Drosophila melanogaster: one gene and its partners. The protein of the gene in region 1 interacts with the protein of each later gene in a pairwise test. Each region holds a gene or a part of one and is shown on either strand. Other genes may lie near its edges. The genes, in order: deltaCOP, CG6972, Cpr47Ef and a.

Region 1 (4,901 bases):
GAACTGGAGAGCGACTACCTACCCGGGACTCCAGTCCACAGGAGAGTGCAGGAGGTAAAGAAGAAGCTTGGCATTGGGCAGCAAGGTCAGACAACGCCCCACGAGAGCCCAATTCTCAAGTTGCTTACGCCAAAAACGGCTCCGCCTAAAGGCACTGCTCCGCCCAAAACATCTGCACCGCCAAAAGTTTCTACCCCCCCAAAATCCACTAAGCAGATTCCAAAACCTAGGAAGCAGAAGGATCTCTCACCCGTTGCGAGCGGCGGCAAGTGCGGCTTTCTGAAATCCCTGGAGGGACAAGTGAGCCGCGATAGGGCGGACAACGAGGCCTTCTTCTATCGGGAAAACTTCGCAAGAAATAAGGATCAGCTGGCCCAGCATCTTTACAAGATGTATAACGCCCAGGTGTTCAACAACGAGCTGGATGTGCCCATCACCTGGTCCAAATTGCTGCGCAACACTGCCGGCCGGTGCATGAACAAGCGCAAGTGGGTGATTCTTATAGAGACAACCAGATATCCTCCTTGAATTCGATAAATATATATTGTTTGCAGACTTAACCAGCGTAGCAGCGTGGTGGAACTGAGCGTCAAAGTGCTGACTACCGCGGACCGCCTGCGTTGCACCTTGATACACGAACTCTGCCATGCTGCGGCCTGGGTATTCAATGGCGAGGGTGGACACGGACGGGTGTGGAAGATGTGGGCACAAAGAGCCAACGACAAGTTCCCCGATCTCCCGCAGATCAAGGTCTGCCACAACTATAGCATTGAATTCAAGTATACCTACAAGTGCCTGAGCTGCGACAAAGCGTAAGTTCTCCCAAGTGATAAAAAGAATATTATTGTCATGCAGTTTTTACGCATCACAGGTCACATGCCCATTCCCGATCCCGCAAGGTGGAAGATTTGCGCTGCAGGATCTGCCGGGGACCCATCACCCTCTTCCTGAACAAAAAGGACAAGCAAGGAAACACCGTATCCACGCCGGCGGGCGAGGCGAAGGGATTTGCTAAGTTCGTTAAGGACAACTTCCAGAGACACAAGCGCGACAACATGACTGCCGCACAGGTGATGCGCATCCTGAGCGTGGAGTACGCCAAGCAGAAGGGTCAGCCGGCGGAGGAGACAGCGGCGTCGATCGCCAGCCGAGTGGAAACGCTGACACTGGACGAGTCGTCCAACTAGCTGGGTTCTCTTTTGAGTTTTGTTAAATTATGTGCTCCAAGCCCTAAACCATTTTTGGTATATCATAGACAATTTGAAAAACTTAACTGAGATCTCAGTTCGTGCGAAGTAGTAGAAGTAGTATATTTTGTTTAATGTATTATATATTTTCTTAACCAGAAACATGGTTTCCATTAAAATTAAACGGACATTTAAAAGCTAGTGCTGTAAAGCTCGATTTTGCATAGCCGGTGTCGGCCGGCGGTGTTGGTAAAGGCGATGCTTGGACTCATTACTTACAGTGAAAGAGTATGTCTGTTTATGTATGTTAATATATGCCTAATACAACCTATTAAATAATTGCTTTGCACAATCTTGAAATGTTAAATTCTACACTGGTGAAAAGTGAGTAGTGCGGTGTACTTGCTAAGGCTAGACACAACAATTTTCTAGATGGAGTAGCAAAAAAAAAAAAAAAAAATGGCAGGGTATCCACGGGCCTACCTCCTACCTTGGCCCAAGGCGTATTAACACTGTGTTTCCGCAGTGGCGCTGGTCACACTACCCGAACTCACACAAAGCCACGGTAAACATTTGTCGCAGAACCGAACACGTCAGCTACGGGGATTGATTGTTAAACAACGTTTCTATCGCCCCGCAAATCCGATCCGTAGCAGCAGTCCATCCTGCGCCGTCCGCATCCGATCCGCGAAGTATTTTCCAGGGCAAAAACGTCAAACGCAGCAGCAAAATGGTAAGAGCCCCGACCTACGCACGCACACACCTACACGTCGGCGATTTTGGGTCTCATCGGCGGGGGTTATTGCATTCCGGTATTATCACTAAACCTATCCGACTTGCAGGTATTAATTGCTGCGGCTGTCTGCACGAAGAATGGCAAAGGTAAGTGGCTTGCATGCACCGCAAGAAATAATCACTTTAGCTAACCCGTAACGTTTGTACACGCAGTGATTCTGTCACGTCAGTTCGTCGAGATGACGAAGGCACGCATCGAGGGACTGCTGGCTGCCTTTCCCAAGCTGATGACTGCTGGCAAGCAGCACACTTACGTGGAGACGGACTCCGTGCGCTACGTCTACCAGCCGATGGAGAAACTATATATGCTGCTCATCACCACTAAGGCCAGCAACATTCTGGAGGATCTGGAGACCCTGCGCCTCTTCTCGAAAGTGGTGAGTTGCACACGGATGTACTCAAGCCGCAGTGTTAATCAGGCCCATCGCTTGCAGATTCCCGAGTACAGCCACTCGCTCGACGAGAAGGAGATTGTGGAGAATGCCTTCAATCTGATCTTCGCATTTGACGAGATCGTGGCACTCGGCTACAGGGAGAGCGTCAACTTGGCCCAGATCAAGACCTTCGTGGAGATGGACTCACATGAGGAGAAGGTCTACCAGGCAGTGCGTCAGACGCAGGAGCGTGATGCGCGCCAGAAGATGCGCGAGAAGGCCAAGGAACTGCAGCGGCAGCGCATGGAGGCCAGCAAACGGGGTGGTCCCTCCCTGGGTGGCATTGGCAGCCGCAGCGGCGGCTTTAGCGCCGACGGAATTGGCAGTAGCGGCGTGAGCAGCAGTTCCGGTGCCTCCAGCGCCAACACCGGCATCACCTCCATCGATGTGGACACCAAATCCAAGGCGGCTGCGTAAGTTCTTTCTCTGCTCTATTAAATCTAGGCTCCTGACTCATTGCTCTGATTTCATCAGCAGTAAACCAGCTTCCCGCAATGCCCTCAAGCTAGGTGGCAAGTCCAAGGACGTCGATAGTTTCGTGGATCAGCTGAAGAACGAGGGCGAGAAGATTGCCAATCTGGCACCGGCGGCGCCCGCTGGAGGTTCCAGTGCTGCAGCTAGCGCCAGTGCAGCGGCCAAGGCAGCTATCGCGTCGGACATTCACAAAGAGAGGTGGGTTTCAGCTCGATTGTATAGTTAGTTATTAAATGCATAACATCTATTTTCAGCGTACATCTGAAGATTGAGGACAAGCTAGTAGTGCGTCTGGGACGCGATGGTGGCGTGCAGCAGTTCGAGAACTCGGGCCTCCTGACGTTGCGCATTACGGACGAGGCCTACGGACGCATTTTGCTGAAGCTGTCTCCCAACCACACACAGGGCCTGCAGTTGCAGACCCACCCCAACGTGGACAAGGAGCTGTTCAAGTCGCGCACTACCATCGGACTAAAGAACTTGGGCAAGCCGTTTCCCCTTAACACCGATGTGGGTGTGCTCAAGTGGCGCTTCGTCTCGCAGGACGAGTCGGCAGTCCCGCTGACCAGTAAGTTCATCCAAACCCAAACAACTTCTTCCCTCTCGCTCAGCCACGTGCTTGTGTTTCTCCCTTTTTCCCAGTTAACTGCTGGCCATCGGATAATGGAGAGGGTGGATGCGATGTTAACATTGAGTATGAACTGGAGGCGCAGCAGCTAGAGCTGCAGGACGTGGCCATTGTCATTCCCTTGCCGTAAGTGTAGTAATGGCGTAGATGTGCAGGCGATTACTTATTCCATTTCACCCTTAGAATGAATGTGCAGCCTTCGGTGGCGGAGTACGACGGCACCTACAACTACGATTCACGCAAGCATGTGCTCCAGTGGCACATTCCAATAATCGATGCCGCCAACAAGTCCGGTTCTATGGAGTTCAGCTGCAGTGCCTCCATTCCCGGTGACTTCTTCCCCTTGCAGGTGTCCTTCGTCTCGAAAACGCCGTATGCGGGCGTCGTGGCCCAGGATGTGGTGCAGGTGGACAGCGAGGCGGCGGTCAAGTATTCAAGCGAGTCCATTCTGTTCGTGGAAAAGTACGAGATCGTGTAGGCCGCGCCGCTGGCCACGCCCACCTAAGTAGTACATAAATATACATAATTTCCCGGGGTCATCCGATGCGATGCAATTAATTCAACTGCTGCAGCATGTTGAGAATTATTTTTCCATGTGCGAACTTTACATATTTATGGCGCAGACAGCTTCTCAGAGCGAGTAATTGATTCCAAAAAAAAAAAAAAAAACACCATCAAAGCCAATTAATTAAACTAATTTTGTGCACTCCGCTGCGCTGCATATAACGGTATCAAATAAATTAATTGCAATTAGTTGTAACTGGCGATTGCAGTGTTTTGTTTTGTGTGCTTCGTCGCACCCCTTCGATTTGAGTAATTTGTATGTAGATTGCTATGAATAAACCATATACAATATACACCAAAGTGGATTGTTTCTGGATTCTTAACTATAAGCGAAGGTTATCCCTTTTTTTTAAACTAAAAACTAAATATTAAATTTGAGTCACTTTTTTTTGCAAGTAGTACCCACTGTGCATGGATTCTTAACGCCCGGCTTATTGGTATTGCCGTCTTCTCGGCGAGCGGTCACACTGGTCATTGTTTTGGTTCTGTTCTTGCTTTGTTTTTTCACTGCGGAAATAACGACGTCGTCCATGGAGCAGCAACTGGAGAAAGTCCTAGCGGAAATGTAGGCACACTCGATCCGTCGATTCCAGATAGTACTCCAAATAAACCACAAATCCATAACGTATTTTCAGCGCCGCACGGCAGGACACAGTGGGAGCTCTGCTGGCCAATCGCCAGGGATTGTGTTTGGGCAGTGAGTATCGATGATTAGTCAGTGGCCGTGCCGTAATGCCACAATACATTTTTGCAGCCAAAGGAGACATTGATCCGAACGTGTCCGGCATCGGAATGGCCATTTCCGAGCAGGTGGCCAAA
Region 2 (4,652 bases), on another chromosome or scaffold:
ATGAATTAACATAGTTTCTTGTTATAATAATGTTACTTTTAACTCGCTCTCTATTTATAGGTATTATGTAAATTATAAAGTTGAAATGAATATGTGTGTTTTGTTAATTTATTTGCTAAAGTTGCCTAGGTGCAATCCATCTGTTTGCTGTTGAAATACCTTTTATGATTGTCCTTATCGTTATCATAAGTATGCAATGATACGAGAACCAACTGCGATTACCAATTACTAATGTCACCAAGAGATAGCATAGGGTAACATATTGTATATTCAGTGTGGTAAAAATAATGAACTTTCTAAACCGTTTTCTATAATCAGATGTATTACCAATAAATACAATAGACCAGAAAACAACAAAAAGTGAGGTCAACAATTTTTATTGAATGCAATGCCAGTGCTGTGGAATTCTTCACAATTCAAGGAGTCATGGATAAAGATAGTATGTACAATAACAAAAGCAGTGTGCTAACCGTCCAGTCAATTTGCTTTCCAGAAATCCGACTATTCCGATAATTCCGATTTATCCGATTATTTCGATTTATTTGCTTTCGCGCTCCTCCAATTGCTGCATCTCCTTTTCATTTTGCAACATTTTCTGTTTGTTCTTTTGCCGAAAGATTTCCTTGCTGGCTTCTTTGATGGCCTCGAAGATTTTGGCCTGCGACATGATTTGCTTTTGAACATTTTCCACAGCTGGCTCGGCATTGATATCGATCAAATCACTTAGACCTTCGGATAAATACTCATTGTTATAGGGTTTCTCTTCGACTTCGTTGCGTTTGAATAGCGAGAATGGCGGATACGAGGGATACGTACGCTTTCGTCCACAGCCTGTAAATCGTCCGGATTGTAATGGATATTATTATATATTGTATTAAAATTACCTGTAAATGCATTGCAAAACGGTCGCTTCTCGTACTTCCATTGTATAACGCCACTTAGCTTGTGCTGCAAATAAGACGATAAATTATATTTATATCAAAACTAATCAGGTAACAACTATTTAATTAGGTATGTAAATGAACGTTAAACAATGCGTCGCGTTATCAACTTAGATTATAACTCCGCTTAACTAATTTAACGAATTTCACAATTTACTTCCACTTTCTGTTGGGTCTTAATGAAATAGTTAATCCATTGATAACTCACATTTGCCATATTGGTGCCCTCGTTGTTCTCCCTTTCCAGCGAAGCCTGAGAGCAAATGGCACAAGCCAGGAGTGCAAGCAGCCTCAGGGAAATCCTCATGGACGTTCTCATTGCAGGAGTGTGTTTTTTTTAATAAGGATCCACTTAGCAACCGACGCGCTTAACACTCGAAAGCCAAATGAAAGTGGCCGCAGCTTGGGCCTTGGTCAACATCTCGGCTACGCAATGTGAGACTTGTTGCTTTCAGAAGGCGACAGGACCACCAGCTGGGCCTGGAATGTATTTTGGTTGCCACTTAATGGCTTTTTGTGTTTTTCCCGACCTTTCCCAGCCGGGTCGCCCCCGCACATTAACATTGCATTGACGTGTGAAGGATGGTCCTTGCCCTTGCCGAGTGTAATAAAAACCACTGCAAATTCAATTTGAAACGCAACTTGGGCAGGCTTAAAGTGGGCGAAAATCCCCCGCAATTGTCACTAATTTCGTTCAGTGCAGCTGCATTGGCCATAATTCGCTCGCGAGCGAACTGAGGCGTTTGTATCTATTTATAAAGACCCGATCCGATCGGATATATCCGAAAGAACACACTCACAGATCGCTCCTACGCGCTTGAGTGTGCATTTTCCGAAACTTTTCCTCACACTTCCACTAGACTTTTCCGAACAAACAGAGGCAATTTCGAGGCGACTCTCTGCCAAAACGGTTCGCGTGCTACTCGAATCTCTGGAATTCAATGAAAAGTTCTACAAAAGTTGCATGATCTGGAAAATAAATAACCATATATTCATTTTCGGAATTTTGAATAAACAACTGATACCATTTGTGCCCTAGTTGATTTTTAAATTGTGATTTCTTCGCGACTTTCCCACGATTTGGTGTCGAAAGTGTAGGAATTTCTGTGTCACTTCTACTAAAATAGCATGTGAGTAATTTGGAAATCTATAAATTATGCATATTAATTGGGAATATCTCAACATTTTATTTGATTATAATTACCAATTTCTGTCGGTTGAGGCCGGAAAAAAGTCGTTTATATCACATTGCATGCAATTTCGTGTTGCCAGTTGAGAATCTTCTGTACCTTGTTTTTGTCTACGTAAAGTAAAAAACTAAAAATACCACGGCTATTTTGAGTTTTCCTCAGTTTTACTGTCACACTTCGGTTTGACAACTTTTCCCCTACCCAATGGTGTCGCCGGCAACCGCTTTTCTTTTTTTTCCTTTTCATTTCCCAGCGCTTCTCTGCTGTTAATTAAGTTAAATGCTTTTCCGCCTTTTTTGTTTATATGAAACATCAAATTCCTCACATATTTCTACTGCCGAAATTGTAAACATTTCAGCACGCCTGATTGGCAATTTGTGCTGAAAATTACAACATTATCGCAGGCGGATCGTAAAAAATAATATCGAATAAAAAGTGAAAATCCTTTGCAATTTAATGGCTCTTGCGCAGCGAAAGTTTGTTGTGGTCCCATGCGAATGCATGTTCATTTAATTTTGACTATACAATTTATTTTATTATTATAATTTCCTCATGCGGCTATTAATAGACCAGAGATGTCAGAGCCCGCAGCCCAACAACAGCAGTCCCAGAACGGCAAGGAGCGCTCCAAGTCCACGGAGGAGAAGGAAGTACCACGCGAACCGGCGCTGGTCCTCAAAGACATCGATGTAAGTCCAAAGACTAGGAAGCTGTATCCAAGTACCAAAAAAAAAACCAACAAAAATGTTTTCTTATATACACAATTACAAACTGGCTGATTTGTTTGTAAACAATTAGATGCACTTTTGAAAATTGCAGTAAATCTGTGACTTATATTATCTAATGCCGAATCATCGCTAAATGCATCATATATCTTATCCTTTCCACTTCCACTTCCCACAGATAAAGACTGAGCTAGAGAGCCTAGTGAAACTGCTCGATGGCAAGATCTACAAGGAGGAGGAAGTGGCCATGGAGGAGCTGCATCAGTATCTGATCGAGGACGATGGCTCCTGGGCGCTGGGCGACAACTTTCTGATCTTCGTGCAGCGCGTCCTGCGTGACAATCAGGCCTTCTCGCCGGACACACGGATACACCTGATCCGCACGCTGGCCTATGCGGCGCTCAAAGATGATGTGATCATCATTCTGCACCAGGATCGAAGGGATCACACACTGATGAACTACGCCCAGGACATTGACAAGCAGACGCCCGAGGAGCAGCAGGCCTGGGCCATGTTTGTAGGTCCCGCAATGGGAGAATGAATATATAAGTTTGCTATATATTCAATATGTTTCAGATGTGCAATCTCTTTGAGAACCTGGGTCCCTCCGAATGGCTGTTGTACATTTCGGAGTGGGAATACAATGGTCAGACCATCTCCAACATACGAGTGACCACCAAGGTGGCCGTCCACTGCATCCTCTCCAATTGCCCGCAGCTGAAAAATATTGGCAGCATGATCCTGTACAACATTGCTATTAAGGAAGTGAAGACTGTGGTATGTGGTATGCAAAGTATTGGAAAATATCGTAGATACAAGATATATATCTGCAGGTATTCGACGATATCGCCGTGGAGCTGGCCATGGCCATTCTTCAGTTCTTCCAGAGCAGTCCCAACGAAGACCAAATCTTCCGCACCCTGAGGGCCCTCGTTCGATTCCTCGAGGTAGTGACCTATATTCGGGGTAGCCCAAATTGACAGCTGTCAAATATTCGAATATTTTGCTATTTTTCAGGTCTCGCAAGACGTACCGATGATCATTCAAATGATTGGACCGCATCCAAAACAATTCGCCGGCAAGAGCGAGCGCGTGGATGAGCTGATAAAGATCATTAGTCGCAAGGTGCCCGCCTAAAGGGAGATTTCCACATAAGAGAATAACCATAACCATAGTTACCCTTTTTCTAATATATATTATAATATATTCTAGACCCTCACTTTTGTAAAGCATTTTAGCGGCTCAATAAACATTTGTACCCCCTGACGAGGTCATCTACATGCCAATATCGCCGCAGCAAAGTTTCAGGAACGGAAATCCATTGCCTCCACTGGCTCTCAGTTGCAGCCAGTGTTTCTGATTGGAGACGAACATCTCCGAAGGCAGCTGTGTGTCCTGGGCAGAGGCATCCTCTACAAGGAGACCAGAAAAACATAGGATCCACATAGATATTCAAACACAACTTACGCGCCTTTTTGTCGTATTTCGGCGACTGGGTGATGGAGATCACATCCTCTGGCTTTCGAAGCAATATCTTGCCCACACCCTTGCACATGCGCAGCACCTCGTGGTTGCTCAGCTTATCCAGCTGCTCCTCATCCAACAGACTGCAGGCCAGAATCCACTCACGCACATCGTCGAAATCGTTGAGCAACCGAACCGCTCCGTTTACACTGAAGCGAATGCGCTTCTGGTAGATAAAGTCCAGCCAGGCCTCACAAATCAGCTTCAGGATCAGCTTGAGTATGACAATGTCCTTGGTGGCACGTATGGTGGGCAGATAGATCTCGTCCAGC
Region 3 (7,995 bases), on another chromosome or scaffold:
ATAAAGATCTTGGATTCCTTGGCGCGCTGCCATGGTATTTTCCACACAAATTATATCAATTTGTTGCGGTGGAGAACCCCTACCCCTCCCCACTAACACCACCATCCCACCAACGAGGGGAGACGCCCTTGTGGTGCTTTATTTATAGTTCTTTAGATCTTTACACAGAAACAAGCAGATCACTTTGCCCCAGATTCTAAGGGGCATTTCACTATTCCTAAAACAAAATCCGTCCATATTTTCCGCCTTTTATAATTGTTCCGATTGGTGTACCAGTTTAAAAAGAAACAAATTTGTATTATGAGGTTTTGGTCCAATTTCCACTTGTATTAGTACACAAACCATATTTTAGTTATCAACAATAATAATAATTAATATTATTTTGTATTTAATTTCCAGAATTCATGGAGATGATGACTGGCGAGTAAGCATTGTGGACCCAACGTATCTCATAATTGTCTACCCCCCAACACCCGAGGCTTGAATAAACGTTTTGTATTTTATTTCTACGATTGAGTAATCATAATTACGCTATAAATAATCCGCTCGTTCAGGAACCGATTGAGTAGAAAAACCCAAAGCGCGGCAAACATTCTATGGCTGCAGTGCATCTGCATCCGAGTTGAGTCATCTTAATTGCCAATTGCCACCCTCTGGCGTGCGGATTATTATTAAATTTCAATGTTTGTGCAATGGGCTGGGAGTGGGCGTGGCCGCTCTGCTCATTTGTGTGTTAATTTGGCAAGGCCATTCGGCGTATGAGTGATGCATGTTGCGCATACGCAACGTGGCCAGATGCATGCGGAGTTCTTTGTTTCAATCTTTCCGCTATTACTTGCGGCAGTGCGTGCACATTCCGTTTGCCACTTGACTGGCGTTCTGGTCCGCACAGCTGTGACCATCCCAAGCAGAATAAGGCCCACTGACAACCTGCTAGATTTTTGCCTTTCCAAACAGCCAATGTAGTATATCATAGCTATGCATGCAGGCTGGCAAATGTCAATGAGCATTCTCCTTGTTGCCAAAAGATGTCAAGCATTTACGCTAAACTTGGCCGCCGCGACATGCAGTGAGTTTGTTTTCCCAAATTCAGCGAAAAGAAGCAACTGCCCTTTCTGAAAAGTTAGCGAAAAAAAAGGAGAAGGGGCTTGGGGCAGATCGATGTGGATGGGTTGGGGTTTGGATGTTGCCACCAAGTGGAGCAACTTGTTTTGCGCAATGCTTAGTCTTTCGGCCGGAGGGTGTCGATATTAGTGGTATTTATTACCGCTTCGAATCCAGTTTTCAGTTTTTACCCAATCATTAGGTGAAAGGTCACAGACTGGACCTGGACGCCCTGTGAAAGAGCTGAAAATGTGGCGGATTGTGTTGGGTGTCAGATTTATTGACATCCGCCTGGGCAGACTTCTCAATATGCGATTCTTGACACCGAGCGCATTAAAACGGTTTCCCAAACGTGCAATTCAATGGAGATGAAGCTGAATGATGATGATGCGCTCGAGCGTTGAGCGTTTCGATTGGATTCCAATTTACGAGCACCACCAGCAGCAGTTGCTTGCTTGCTAATTTTTACCCACTAACCGAGGAGAGATGTGGCTGAGAGCGTTTGTTTAACAAGACAAGGTACATTGAGTAAACGAGATGCCGCCGTTGAGACAATAGTCAAAATGCATGGGCTTGCGGATGAGGATGCGGGGGCACCACCACCTCCTCCTCCCTTTTTCGTGCGATTGTTTTCTGCCCCAGCTGGGGACGGAGCCTCAGCTAGCACCACCACCATCACCACCACAGCTGCACACGATTGCAATAAATGCCATAAAGTATCAAAATCTCAGCACTCGCTCAGCACCGAGCTCCAAGCTGCAAGCGGCAAGCTCCGGCTGCAGTTTTCGTTCATTCCATTCCATTTGATTGCATTTGGCGCCAAACCAAGTATAAAAGCTGGAGAACTTGGGCTGCGATCGGCACACAAGTACCGTGACATTCGAGGAGCCACAACACGACACGCGGAGGCACTGCATCGCTGGTGCGGCAAAGGACTTACGTGGATTAACCCAGCTTTGTGGATAAATTAAGCAGTGGATAAATTGTGGGTGCGCCAAGGATTCTTCTTCTTAATCCTCGATCGAAACAATCAAAAGATTGCTGTCATGGCTCTTAAGTGGGTAAGTTCAGTGAAAGAGGAAAGTAACTTTGGGTTAGAAAATTCAAAAGATCCAAGTGTTCTAATGAAGAGTCCTTTGAAACTCCATATGCTGTTGTGGTTAGAAATTATTGTAGAGCTTTACTAATTTTTCCCGAAAAGTATCCTTCTTGAGATAATGACCTAGATTCAAAAATATATTTCAATGTTTGAATATAATATTCATATTTATATTCATATTTTCCGTTTTTATTCTTTTCGGATTTTTTACATTCATTACATTTTTACATTTTACATTCGAATGCAAAGATCTTAATGCTTCAAATTTAATTAAATTGATTTCATTACCCAATTTAATTTAAATGAAAGTAAAGTTACGAATTTTACCTTAGAATAAAGACATTCAATTATTTTAGTCTAGGGAATTGTCTCATCAGAAATCTGTATTAAATTGGCATAGGAATATTCTTATTCATCAAGAGTTTATAACTTTTCAGGAAACTTTGATTTAGTTAATTATTTAATCTCAACTTGGCAACTCATAAAATTCCGCGAAAAAGAACATGCCTAAACAATAGGCCACTGGAGTGTCCCATCTTGGATATTTTAGCACAGCCAAGGGTTTCCCCATTGCACTTAGCATATCCGATTGTCTTGAAAAGATCGAGTAATCCCCGTGAAACGCATAAATTAACAGCCCATTTGCAATCGGAGATGGTGGATGGCACGCAAAGTTGCCCAAGATGGTTTGGTCGTGGCCGATCCGCCCCGCCTCCAAAGCAGATCATCGAAATGGAAGCAGTGGCGACCCAATTGGCAGCCCATTTGCAATAACCGCAATTATATTTGCGGTTGCGAAACGCTGTCGAAGATGTCTGCTAGGTGGTCACGAACTCCAAGAGGCTCTCACAGACTCCTCAAGATATTCCGGCCCAAGGGGCAGGCGTTGCTTGTTTCGGTTGCATGTGCCACAGTCGCCGGATGAGTCAGTGTGGCAAATGTCAGAATTTCCACAATATTACATTATTACACTGCCCGGCTGTGGCGACAAGTGAGCTCATCATCGTGCCAATCGATGGAGCTGTTAGGTTTATGGCCCAATGGAATTCGTAAACGGTTTAAACTTCAACTTGACACTCGCTGGTCCGCTCCGCTTAGCCAACCTTCCCAGCCAGCAATTCTCTGTGGCACTCTCGGTTCACACGCTGCTGCATCTTCAGACGTCTTCTGTCTAACAAGAAGTCCATAAATATCATAGTTCGCCTCAGGCTGAGACAATGATGAGCCAGCCCGATGTTGATACTATAGTCAAGAGTCCCCGCTGCACTTGCAGCCTTAATGGGCGACGACGATCGGTTGCAACAATGGAAAACGTGAGCGGATCGGATTGCGTCGTTCTGTCAATGGACAAATGCTTCATTGATGAAATGGCCGACATTTGGCCACACTCTTGACCCCTTTGGAGGTTCCCAGCGGCGGGGTCATGATACCCACTTGGCCGAGATGTGTATCAGGGCTTAATTAACAGCAGAAACAATTCAAGGTTCTTCTTGTAATTTGAAGTTTGGAAAAAGCTTATCGTTTATTTTTGGAACGAACCATTGCTGTTTAACTTAAAATACACATTTATTACAAATAATTACCAAAATGCTATCATGAGTAAAGTACAGTTGTAAAAAATGACATAATGTTAGTAAGACATTAAAAATCGTTTAAAAGTATTTCTTAATACGAATAATTCGAAAATAATAATTTTCAGACGCTTAACATTATTTTAAGTTTAAATACGTCCTTGTGCTCAAGCAACAAAAGTTTATTCGAATAACACTTTTTATGGCGGTCGTTAAATGACTATTTCATTACATTTAGCAGCCTTTTTTCATGTTATCTTCAGATTTATGAATTAGCCGCAGTTAATGAAGTTAAATTTTAAACAATTAGCCACCCCTGCGATTTTTCACTGGCATTTATTTTGCAATCAAATAAGTCAACACGCCAAAGATTCGCTTCAGGCCAAATTGAGAACGTGGATCGCGATGGAAGATGCTGGATTCGCATGAACTTTCCATGTGCTTGCATAAATTTGTGAACTTACCGGGCAATCCCTACCTGCAACGATCTTTTTCAGGCTCTGGTGATCACGACGCTGGTGGTTGCCCAAGCAGCCAAGCTGGATAACAAATACCTGCCCCCACCTGCAAGTGCGGCCAGTGCGGGCGGCAGTCCGGGAGCAGGGCTTCAGGGCCCAGGAGGTGGCTTCGGCGGAGGTGGAGGATTCGGTGGCGGCGGAGCGGGTGGAGGTTATGGAGGAGGCGGCGGTGGCGGACCAGCTGGCGGCTTCGGTGGAGGACCAGGCGGTGGCGGTGCTGGTGGCTTTGGTGGTGGTAATAACGGACTTGGTGGCTTCGCAAACGGAAGACCCATTGCACCTGGCGGCGGCGGCGGAGGCGGCGGAGCACCCGCTCCACGCCCCAGTCCGTCAGGTGGCGCGCCACCAACTTCTGGACCTCCCATTCCGATCCTCTCATTTGTCAACGAGAACGACGGCGATGGCAACTACCGTTTCAGCTACGAGACTGGAAATGGTATAAAGGCCCAGGAGGAGGGCACCGTTAAGAACAAGGGATCTGAGAATGAAATCCCATCCGTGATGGGCTCATACTCCTACACAAATCCCGAAGGTGAACTCGTCGAGATCATGTACACGGCGGATGAGAATGGCTTTGTGCCCTCGGGCAACGCCCTGCCCACTCCACCGCCCATTCCGGAAGCGATAGCCAAATCTCTGGCTGCCCAGGGCATCTCCATACTGCCGGGTGGTGGATACAGTGGCGGTCCTGGAGGACAGGGTAAGTTTCTACAAAATAAATCAATGGATTAACATTCCATTTCATTGCTCACTTTTGATTGCAGGAGCAGGTGGCGGCGGAGGCGGTGGTTCGGGATATGGAGGCGGATCCGGATTTGGAGGCGGCGGCGCAGGAGGAGGATCCGGTGGAGGCGGAGGTGGAGCAGGAGGTGGCGGTGGATATGGATCAGGTAAGATACGAATTCAAGTCACATTTTGACCCTTTTTCTTTTTTTAGTCTTTTTTGACTTTAACTTTGATTATTTTTAGGAGGCGGCAGTGGTCGTGGAGGAGCACCAGGAGGTCCAGGTAACGACTGATTTATTTATACAATTTTTAAAAATGTTAACCCCTATTAGATTAATTTAATACTTTATCGATTCGTTTGCTTCTTTAGGTGCGCCAGGTGGAGGCGGATTCGGAGGTCAAGGTAAGTTATGTTCCAACGGCTTACACATGGATCTAAAATACTATTTATTTTTTAGGAGGTGGAGGAGGCTATGGAGGAGCTGGTGGCGGAGCTGGTCGTGGTGGTTCCCCAGGAGGTCCTGGTAAGTCCTTTTTCTAGATGAAATTTATTGTTCCTAAAGAAAATCCGTCTTAATTCACTTCATGAATTTATATTTATTTTCATATATTTCAGGATCACCTGGCGGCGGCGGATTTGGTGGTCAAGGAGGTGCTGGCGGCGGTTATGGTGGTGGCGGCGGCGGAGGACGCGGCGGTGGCGGAGCACCAGGAGCTCCCGGTAAGTTAACGAAAAGTGTTACTCCATAGATACTCAAAACTAATAACTTACTTCAACTAAAGGATCACCTGGCGGTGGAGGTTTCGGAGGTCAAGGTAAGTGATCCCGCCTGACTTTGCGGTTCAAGTTAAAACTATATACACTTTCCAGGTGGAGGCGGAGGATTCGGAGGTGGCGGCGGACGCGGCGGTGCTCCTGGCGCTCCCGGTGAGTTCATGATTTCATTCACTTTATATAATAGATAACACATTGCTTATTTTCAGGATCACCAGGCGGAGGCGGATATGGTGGCCAGGGAGGTGCTGGCGGCGGCTATGGAGGCGGCGGCGGTCGCGGTGGTGGTGGAGCACCAGGTGCGCCAGGAGCACCAGGATCCCCAGGTGGTGGCGGATTCGGAGGTCAAGGTAAGGGATTTTAAAACTTACTGCACATTCACCTCGAATAATACATTCATCTTGTAGGAGGTGGTGGCGGATTCGGAGGAGGTGGTGGTCGTGGAGGTGCCCCAGGAGCTCCAGGTGAGTACAAAACATAAATTGTTTGTTACTGAAAATAAGGAATTATTAATTAATAGGATCGCCTGGTGGAGGAGGATTTGGCGGTCAAGGTTAGTTAGCAAAACAATATTCCAGTTGCAGGTCTTAAGTAAAACATCTTCATCTTGTAGGTGGGGGTGGCGGATACGGAGGCGGCGCCGGTCGTGGTGGTGCTCCTGGAGCTCCTGGTAAGTCGATTTTAATATCTGCCTAGTGGCTTTAAAAACATACCATTCGTGTTTCGCAGGCTCTCCCGGAGGAGGAGGATTCGGAGGCCAAGGTTAGTAACTTAGTAACAGTACACTGTGCATTCCACAAAACTTACGAAATTCTTCAAGTTTCCGACTACTTGTTAAACTGTGTTATAAATATTATAATAATTAAAGTAATATTTATTTTTTAGGAGGTGGTGGTGGCTTTGGCGCCGGCGGTGGTCGCGGTGGAGCTGGAGGAGCACCCGGTGGACCCGGTGAGTAACATTGGTTTTTGTGATGAAGAGGTCACTCTCCCAATTTGTCACAACATATAGATGGTATTTACATTTTTTAATGTAGGATCTCCAGGCGGTCCAGGTTATGGAGGAGGTGCCGGTGGACCGGGTAAGAAGCATTATAGTTATAAACCCGGTTTTACAATCTGTGTGATTGCAATTGTAAAACTTGAATTAGCCTCATTCATCTTCATGAGAAAATGATGTGAAGAGCTACACTAGACAAGTGCTATTCCCACACATTTCAGTTTTTTTATTTTGACAATTCTTGTTTGGCAAAGCCTTGGTCTATTGTTTTACCCACGATCGACTAACGATCTTTCATGCATAAAACATTTCGGCTTGCACGCGGTCTCTTTGAAGTCGCTAGATTATAATAATTTTAAAGACTGCTTTAAATAATTACAACTAATCAAAGAGGGTTTACATAAATTTAATGCCACTCTAATCGCGATTGTTTCCATTTTTTATCTAGGAGGCGCCGGTGGACGTCCAGGCGGACCAGGATTGCCCGGCAATCAGTATGTTCCACCAGCGGCTGGTGGCGGAGCACCCGGCTCGCCAGGCAGACCAGGATCGGGAGGAGTTCCCGGCACAGGATCACAGTACATTCCACCTGCTCCGGGAGCGCCGGGCGGAGGTCGTGGAAACGGAGAGTTCAATCCTCAGACGGGCTATAGCTACTAAAATCAGAATTTATTCCAAAACGCCAATCAAATCTCTCAAATCGAAGAAACGTCATTTCCGTGCAGGCTGCCCTCAATGTTCTTTCGCTAAAACAATTAATTTATTTATATAAGCTTACCTCCCTCTTCCACTCTGACAATGTGTGTGTGCAACTATCGAAATAAATGATTATTATAAAATATTTGCTTATCATTTTGCGCCGCGTAAGCTGCGGAAATTGAAACAAACTGCTTGACTTTTCAGATGCATGTATTTCATGCCTTTGAGTTGCGACTACATCTTCAAACTAATCAATCATTTAAATGACATTAATTTGTCGTTATTTCTTTGGGGACTTCTTGAAGCGTCTGCCGTACTGATTATAGCCATATGGATCCACCAGGTTGTTCGGTCTGCCCCTCAGTTGTTGGGTGATTAGGGCCTGTTGCTGCTGCTCGTTTTGCTGCTCCTTCTGCTGCTGTTGCTGCTGCTGCTGTTGTTGCTGCTGCTGCTGCTGTTGCTGGTTGAGATTCTGCTGCTGTTGTGCCTGTTGTGCAGTAAGAT
Region 4 (5,002 bases), on another chromosome or scaffold:
ACCGCGGCAACAGACGAATTTCAAATGCTCTTAATAACTACATATGAATGTATATATTATTACCTTTGCATTATTGTAAGGTAAGAAAGAAAACACTTTTGGTCAAGTAAGAACTATCTGTTAATTATTAGTATTTTTGATTTACTGGTAATGCATTGTTTTATAATACACTACTACCTACTACTACTTTCTGCGGATAAGTAGCAACGCGCGCTATTTACTCTTTCCTAGCAGCAAATGAAAGCCCAACGATGAGGTCGCTTATGTGGACAGGTGCAGTGGCCAGGTAAATTCAGGTGTGTGCGTGTGTTTGCCTCCGTTTTCATATGCCGTCCGTCTGTTTTTCGAATGCAGCCCATACCGATAGCCATACCAATACCCCTGCCAACTCCCATAACCAGGCCCAAACCCAGACCCAAAGCATATCCATAGCCCCCGACTTCTGTGCCTAAACGAACAGTTATGCAAATCGAGAAGAGGCGCACCTCCTCCCCCAACGTCGCCCCGCCCCCTGCTTTATCACTCGAGGGGTTTACTTTACTTTTTTGTTTCTCTGTGTATTTAGCGCCTAATACCCAAGTTTATGTCGCTTAATTATAGACCTTAAACAGCCGCCGCGAACAGTTGGCTTAACATGCTAATCGCCAGACTCGGGGGCTAACCCCTTTTCCCATCCTGACGGCGGTGGCGGGGTATCGAATGACCTTCTTCTGATCTGAGACGCCACTTGTTGATCGATAGTATGGAAACTCTAGTAGCTTGGGAGCGGAAATCCGCGATGCGAAAACGAAAACTTTTGTTAGCCCAATCTGGTAATCGATAGTTCGCTTCGATCCCACATCAAACGCCGGCCTTTTAGAGCCAAACTATTAAGCGGATTTGGCCAATTCGGTAGCGGACAGATTGGAACAGAATCGCTCGGAGATCTGCTTTTAATAAGGCTTAAATAGCTCTGAGCGAGCACGATTAATTCGCCATAAAAGTGAGGCTTTAATTGGCTGACGAGTGGGAAGCATTAACTAAGGAAAGTGTTTTTGCCCAAAGAGCAAAGAATATGAATAGACTTTGGTAGTTACACTGCTAGGAATCACGAATACTTATATGTATCTTTGATGCGCCTTATTTTGTTCATGTTTGATTTGGCAAATTACTATAGATTAAGTGATTGCATTTATATATGGAAAATATAATCTTAATTTATTGATTTCTAGTTCTATTTTCGTTTTGCTGCCGTATGTACATTGTAAAGTTTTTCTACTGACATTGAAAGATAAGAGTGAAAACACTTTGCCCTTTTGCACTAAATTTGAATGCCAAACGGACTGCATTCAGAAGTATCCACCCGAAACAATGGGTGGGCGTTTTTCAAGTGGGTGGTTTTCCAGTGGGTGGTGCGCCAGTGGGTAGTAGTTGTCCTTCACATGCCCGCTTACCTTTACCTATGACATTAAGCGAAGCAAATTGAGTGACTGACTCGATTAAGGCACTTGGTCAGTGCATTTACTTACTGTACTACTTGATTACTAAGTGCACTCATAATGCATGCAATTTAAATCATAATTGAAATAATTATCGTAGAACGAGAAATAATATTTAAAGAGAATGGTAATAACTAAGAAAATTAAAAAAAAGTTACTTTATCTGATGAAGGATGAAAAAAAGAAAAAAAAATTTAAGTTCTTACTTATTGTTTATAATTATAATCATTACAATTATATTAAACAATAAATTATAATAATAATTATTAATATATTATTAATTATATGTTAATTCTAATTATAAATAAGTTAAAAATAAAAATGCAATTAGTGAAAGAAAGAGGTATAACAAGAGCTTAAAATTTTACCTTTCTCTTTTCAGATTTTATGCTTTGGTGCTCTTCTCTTAAAATTTGTGTTTTGGAGAGACTCGTTCTCATCTCTCGTTGAGCGACGCGAGCGAGAGAGGCAAACTATTTAAGCCACATCGCAAGGCAACTCGTGTTCAATCTTTGTTTTCGTAGCGCGGCGGTCGCATCGGAGTCGAGAACTCGAAGTGAAGGTGCACGAAGAATTCGATAAATACAATTAAATAGTTTTGAATATATTGCGGTGATTTTTGGATTTGCATACCGGTTTTCGAGAAGCGAATTCGTAAAAACATGTTATGTTTAAATATCGAGAAGTGTCCCAAAGTGCGAAACAAACCGATTTAACAACAAATGCCCAAAGCGAATCACAAACGTGAGAGAAACAATAAATATATAAAGTGAATTATTATAGCATAAAATGAATTATTCTCTTATCAGTGTGTACATTATATTTTCATAAAGCACAAATAAAATTCAGTGAAGACATTAACAAATTCAAGCTAAAAGTTAAACTGAAAGCTAAACACTTTTTTTTGTTGAAATTGCAATTTTTTTTATTATAAATGTTTGTACTGATAATTGCGCTTACAACAAAAACGAATACACAAATCAAAGCAAGTGTCTGTGTGATTGTAAAGAAGAATGTGCTAAGCAAATAAGGCAAATAACAACCATATAACTGTAACTGAAATCCCACACTGAGAAAATAATCAGCGAAGAATAATATTTTGACATCCGTCTCTTGAAATATAAGATCAAACTTTAGGTTAATACTCATTAGAAATATATCAATAAGCTATGAAATATCATTTAAATAAAAATGTAGTGATCTTATTTTCATTTTTCTTCGTGCTCTCATAAGACAAGTTGATTGATTTGCGCAAAGGGAATTCGAGACACTTAAGATATTACCAAGTTCAGTGAGCAACCGCCCTAATGTCAAGGTCTTTCGCTTGGGGATCGGGTTTTAACCTAATGGACTTGACCCCCATTTTCTGTGGCTGTACGAAATCCGCAGCTTAAGTTACCAGCAAAACATATTTACTCAATTAGAGCTGACACCTATTATGTCTCAAGTTGCAACACGTGGTGCAATAAGTAAAAAATATTTTATCAATTCTGTTTAATTTTCCTAATTTTTGATTTCTCTCTAATCGTGTCTAGTAACCCATAAAACTAACGACAATTCGCATAAACAAACATAATAAAGGAAACGTTAGTAAAACAACAGAGTGTAAAAAAGGTTTAGCAACCGCGAAAACGACTTACGAATTTTCACAACAACTTGATGTTTTGTAACGGAGTTTCAAGAAACTAGTAAAAACTTTATTGTGAATTCTTCTGCTGCTTCTTCTTTGCAAGTGTGGCAAAAATTTTGTTGCTCTGCGGATTTATCGAGAACATCAACCACTCACGGTAAGTTGTGCTAATTATTGCTTAAACTTATTTAGTTGGCTATTTTTATTGCAATTTCTTGAGCATGATTCACAAGGGGAATTCAAATCAGAGGCTGCCCTTTAATGAATCAGCTACTTGGTTGGCATGGCCTACATTCAGTTCTCTAAAAATCACTTCTGATATATAAATACGCAGAACTAAATGCAGCCACTGATTTGAAATATCAAATATATTGCAGGTCTTCGTTCTGCATAAGCTTGATGTTCTGAAGTATATTGTATACATCGTTTTTTTGACGTGCTTTTCAAGTGTTAATAAGTTGAGCTGCTTCTATATCATACTCATATGTATGTGTGCAAATGATATATCTGTCAGTTGTCCATCATTGGCTAAGATCAAATCCGAATCTAAGCCATTTCGAGTTGAACAAACCCAATCGCAACGCCGCCGAAAGCGAGAGGCACGGGTACGTGAACTCCATATTCCGACCACTCTGATCTAATGCCGCTGAAATCGCACAAGGTTGTACTTGTGTACGAGCGTATGTAGATAGATGGATGAATAGTATGTGGTCCAATACATTCCGATTTCGATTTCGGATTCGGTTTCGCTTTCGAAGTCGGCTTAAACTTGGCACCTGTTGCGGTCAGAGCAACACTCGACTACACTGTCGCACAAAGTTCGCATAGAATTGAATCGAGCTTGAAAATGTTTTGTGGTCGCAAGTGCTGTCTGTTCTGCCTGTTCATGAGCGCCTGGGGCTTCTTGATGCTGAATCTGCTGGGTATCTTCTTCTACGTCCAGTCACTGATGCTCCTGGAGTCCCTGCCCTTGCCCCACCACTTCCCCAGTCAGGAGGCCTTCAAGGAGCAGGCGGACGAGGCCTACCAGGACGTGTCCACACGGTGCTTTGTAGCCGCCGTTTTCTATCTGGGATTCGTCTTCATTGCGATAGTGGCCATTCGTCGGGATAACAAGAGAAGGAAGCGACTCTACAAGCGGGGTCCCGGTCACTTGCGATTCCGTCGTTGATTTGTATGATTGGTTATTGAATAAACAATTTATTTTCATGGTTCCAATTGCATTTCACCCACTCAGCGACGTCCACCCACTTGTTGGTTCGAAAGATCGAAAGAACCAGTTTGTTGACCGCATTCTGCGATTAGCCTTAACTTCTTTATCGCCAAGCCACTTTTCGATTTCAAGTCTGGCTGACTGTTGTCCACTCCGCATTATGCATTCGTCTCGGACCAACCGATTTTTGACAGCGCACGTGACACCTTCACCGAGGTGTGTTCTCTTTTGGGCATCATAAATTTCCGTGAAATTCTCTTTCCGAAACATGCTAATGGGAATGGGGTGTGGGTTCCCAGTTCTGGCTATTCCCCCCCCTTTCACCTCTATACCGTAGTCTAGTCTACACCGGGGTTATGTATCTTGTTCTTATCGACCGAGCTTTTGTGTCTTACACGAAAACCGTTGTGTAAATTATCGTACACGATTTTCTAGTTGTACGCTTGTGTATCTGGCTTGTTATCACCACCAACCAAGTGCAGTCTGCTGAAAACTGGTTCACTGCATTTACTCATTTTTTCGGGAACTCGGGTTAACTGATTTGGAGATCTGGCAATACCTGGGAAATATTCTAAATTTCCTCCATGGATGGTCTTCTATATAATTGTGCCACCCGAGAGACCGTACAATTTCTTATGCAGATGTAGAATCGTATTTTTTACGAATCTATGAAACACACTC

Evidence for each region.
Region 2: the proteins of deltaCOP (region 1) and CG6972 interact in a two-hybrid assay, tested with the Drosophila melanogaster proteins (one large-scale study listed by BioGRID).
Region 3: the proteins of deltaCOP (region 1) and Cpr47Ef interact in a two-hybrid assay, tested with the Drosophila melanogaster proteins (one large-scale study listed by BioGRID).
Region 4: the proteins of deltaCOP (region 1) and a interact in a two-hybrid assay, tested with the Drosophila melanogaster proteins (one large-scale study listed by BioGRID).

The regions. Positions count from the first base shown.
Region 1 is NC_004354.4:1,858,614-1,863,514, reverse strand, and holds deltaCOP (coat protein (coatomer) delta), read left to right. Parts: upstream 1-1,724; 5' UTR 1,725-1,917; coding exon 1,918-1,920; intron 1,921-2,029; coding exon 2,030-2,069; intron 2,070-2,135; coding exon 2,136-2,359; intron 2,360-2,416; coding exon 2,417-2,829; intron 2,830-2,890; coding exon 2,891-3,088; intron 3,089-3,144; coding exon 3,145-3,458; intron 3,459-3,532; coding exon 3,533-3,644; intron 3,645-3,701; coding exon 3,702-3,996; 3' UTR 3,997-4,374; downstream 4,375-4,901. Other genes in the region: Gcna (germ cell nuclear acidic peptidase), read left to right, coding at 1-488, 555-812, 872-1,187; Lamtor5 (late endosomal/lysosomal adaptor, MAPK and MTOR activator 5), read left to right, coding at 4,613-4,647, 4,718-4,779, 4,837-4,901.
Region 2 is NT_033777.3:22,700,220-22,704,871, forward strand, and holds CG6972 (uncharacterized protein), read left to right. Parts: upstream 1-1,787; 5' UTR 1,788-2,071; intron 2,072-2,699; 5' UTR 2,700-2,706; coding exon 2,707-2,820; intron 2,821-3,034; coding exon 3,035-3,373; intron 3,374-3,432; coding exon 3,433-3,633; intron 3,634-3,689; coding exon 3,690-3,806; intron 3,807-3,873; coding exon 3,874-3,993; 3' UTR 3,994-4,119; downstream 4,120-4,652. Other genes in the region: CCAP (crustacean cardioactive peptide), read right to left, coding at 539-831, 885-948, 1,150-1,260; CG13842 (uncharacterized protein), read right to left, coding at 4,132-4,268, 4,324-4,652.
Region 3 is NT_033778.4:11,266,547-11,274,541, reverse strand, and holds Cpr47Ef (cuticular protein 47Ef), read left to right. Parts: upstream 1-1,966; 5' UTR 1,967-2,150; coding exon 2,151-2,165; intron 2,166-4,271; coding exon 4,272-4,992; intron 4,993-5,056; coding exon 5,057-5,182; intron 5,183-5,261; coding exon 5,262-5,300; intron 5,301-5,388; coding exon 5,389-5,421; intron 5,422-5,476; coding exon 5,477-5,542; intron 5,543-5,634; coding exon 5,635-5,739; intron 5,740-5,801; coding exon 5,802-5,834; intron 5,835-5,889; coding exon 5,890-5,946; intron 5,947-6,002; coding exon 6,003-6,143; intron 6,144-6,200; coding exon 6,201-6,257; intron 6,258-6,313; coding exon 6,314-6,346; intron 6,347-6,406; coding exon 6,407-6,463; intron 6,464-6,522; coding exon 6,523-6,555; intron 6,556-6,678; coding exon 6,679-6,744; intron 6,745-6,829; coding exon 6,830-6,874; intron 6,875-7,240; coding exon 7,241-7,452; 3' UTR 7,453-7,627; downstream 7,628-7,995. Other genes in the region: TpnC47D (troponin C at 47D), read left to right, coding at 400-428; Cpr47Ee (cuticular protein 47Ee), read right to left, coding at 7,772-7,995.
Region 4 is NT_033778.4:22,134,987-22,139,988, forward strand, and holds the start of a (arc), read left to right. Parts: upstream 1-1,981; 5' UTR 1,982-2,222; intron 2,223-2,446; exon of another isoform or gene 2,447-3,013; 5' UTR 3,014-3,265; intron 3,266-3,908; exon of another isoform or gene 3,909-3,955; coding exon of another isoform or gene 3,956-4,279; exon of another isoform or gene 4,280-4,309; intron 4,310-4,948; exon of another isoform or gene 4,949-5,002. Other genes in the region: CG11269 (uncharacterized protein), read left to right, coding at 3,956-4,279.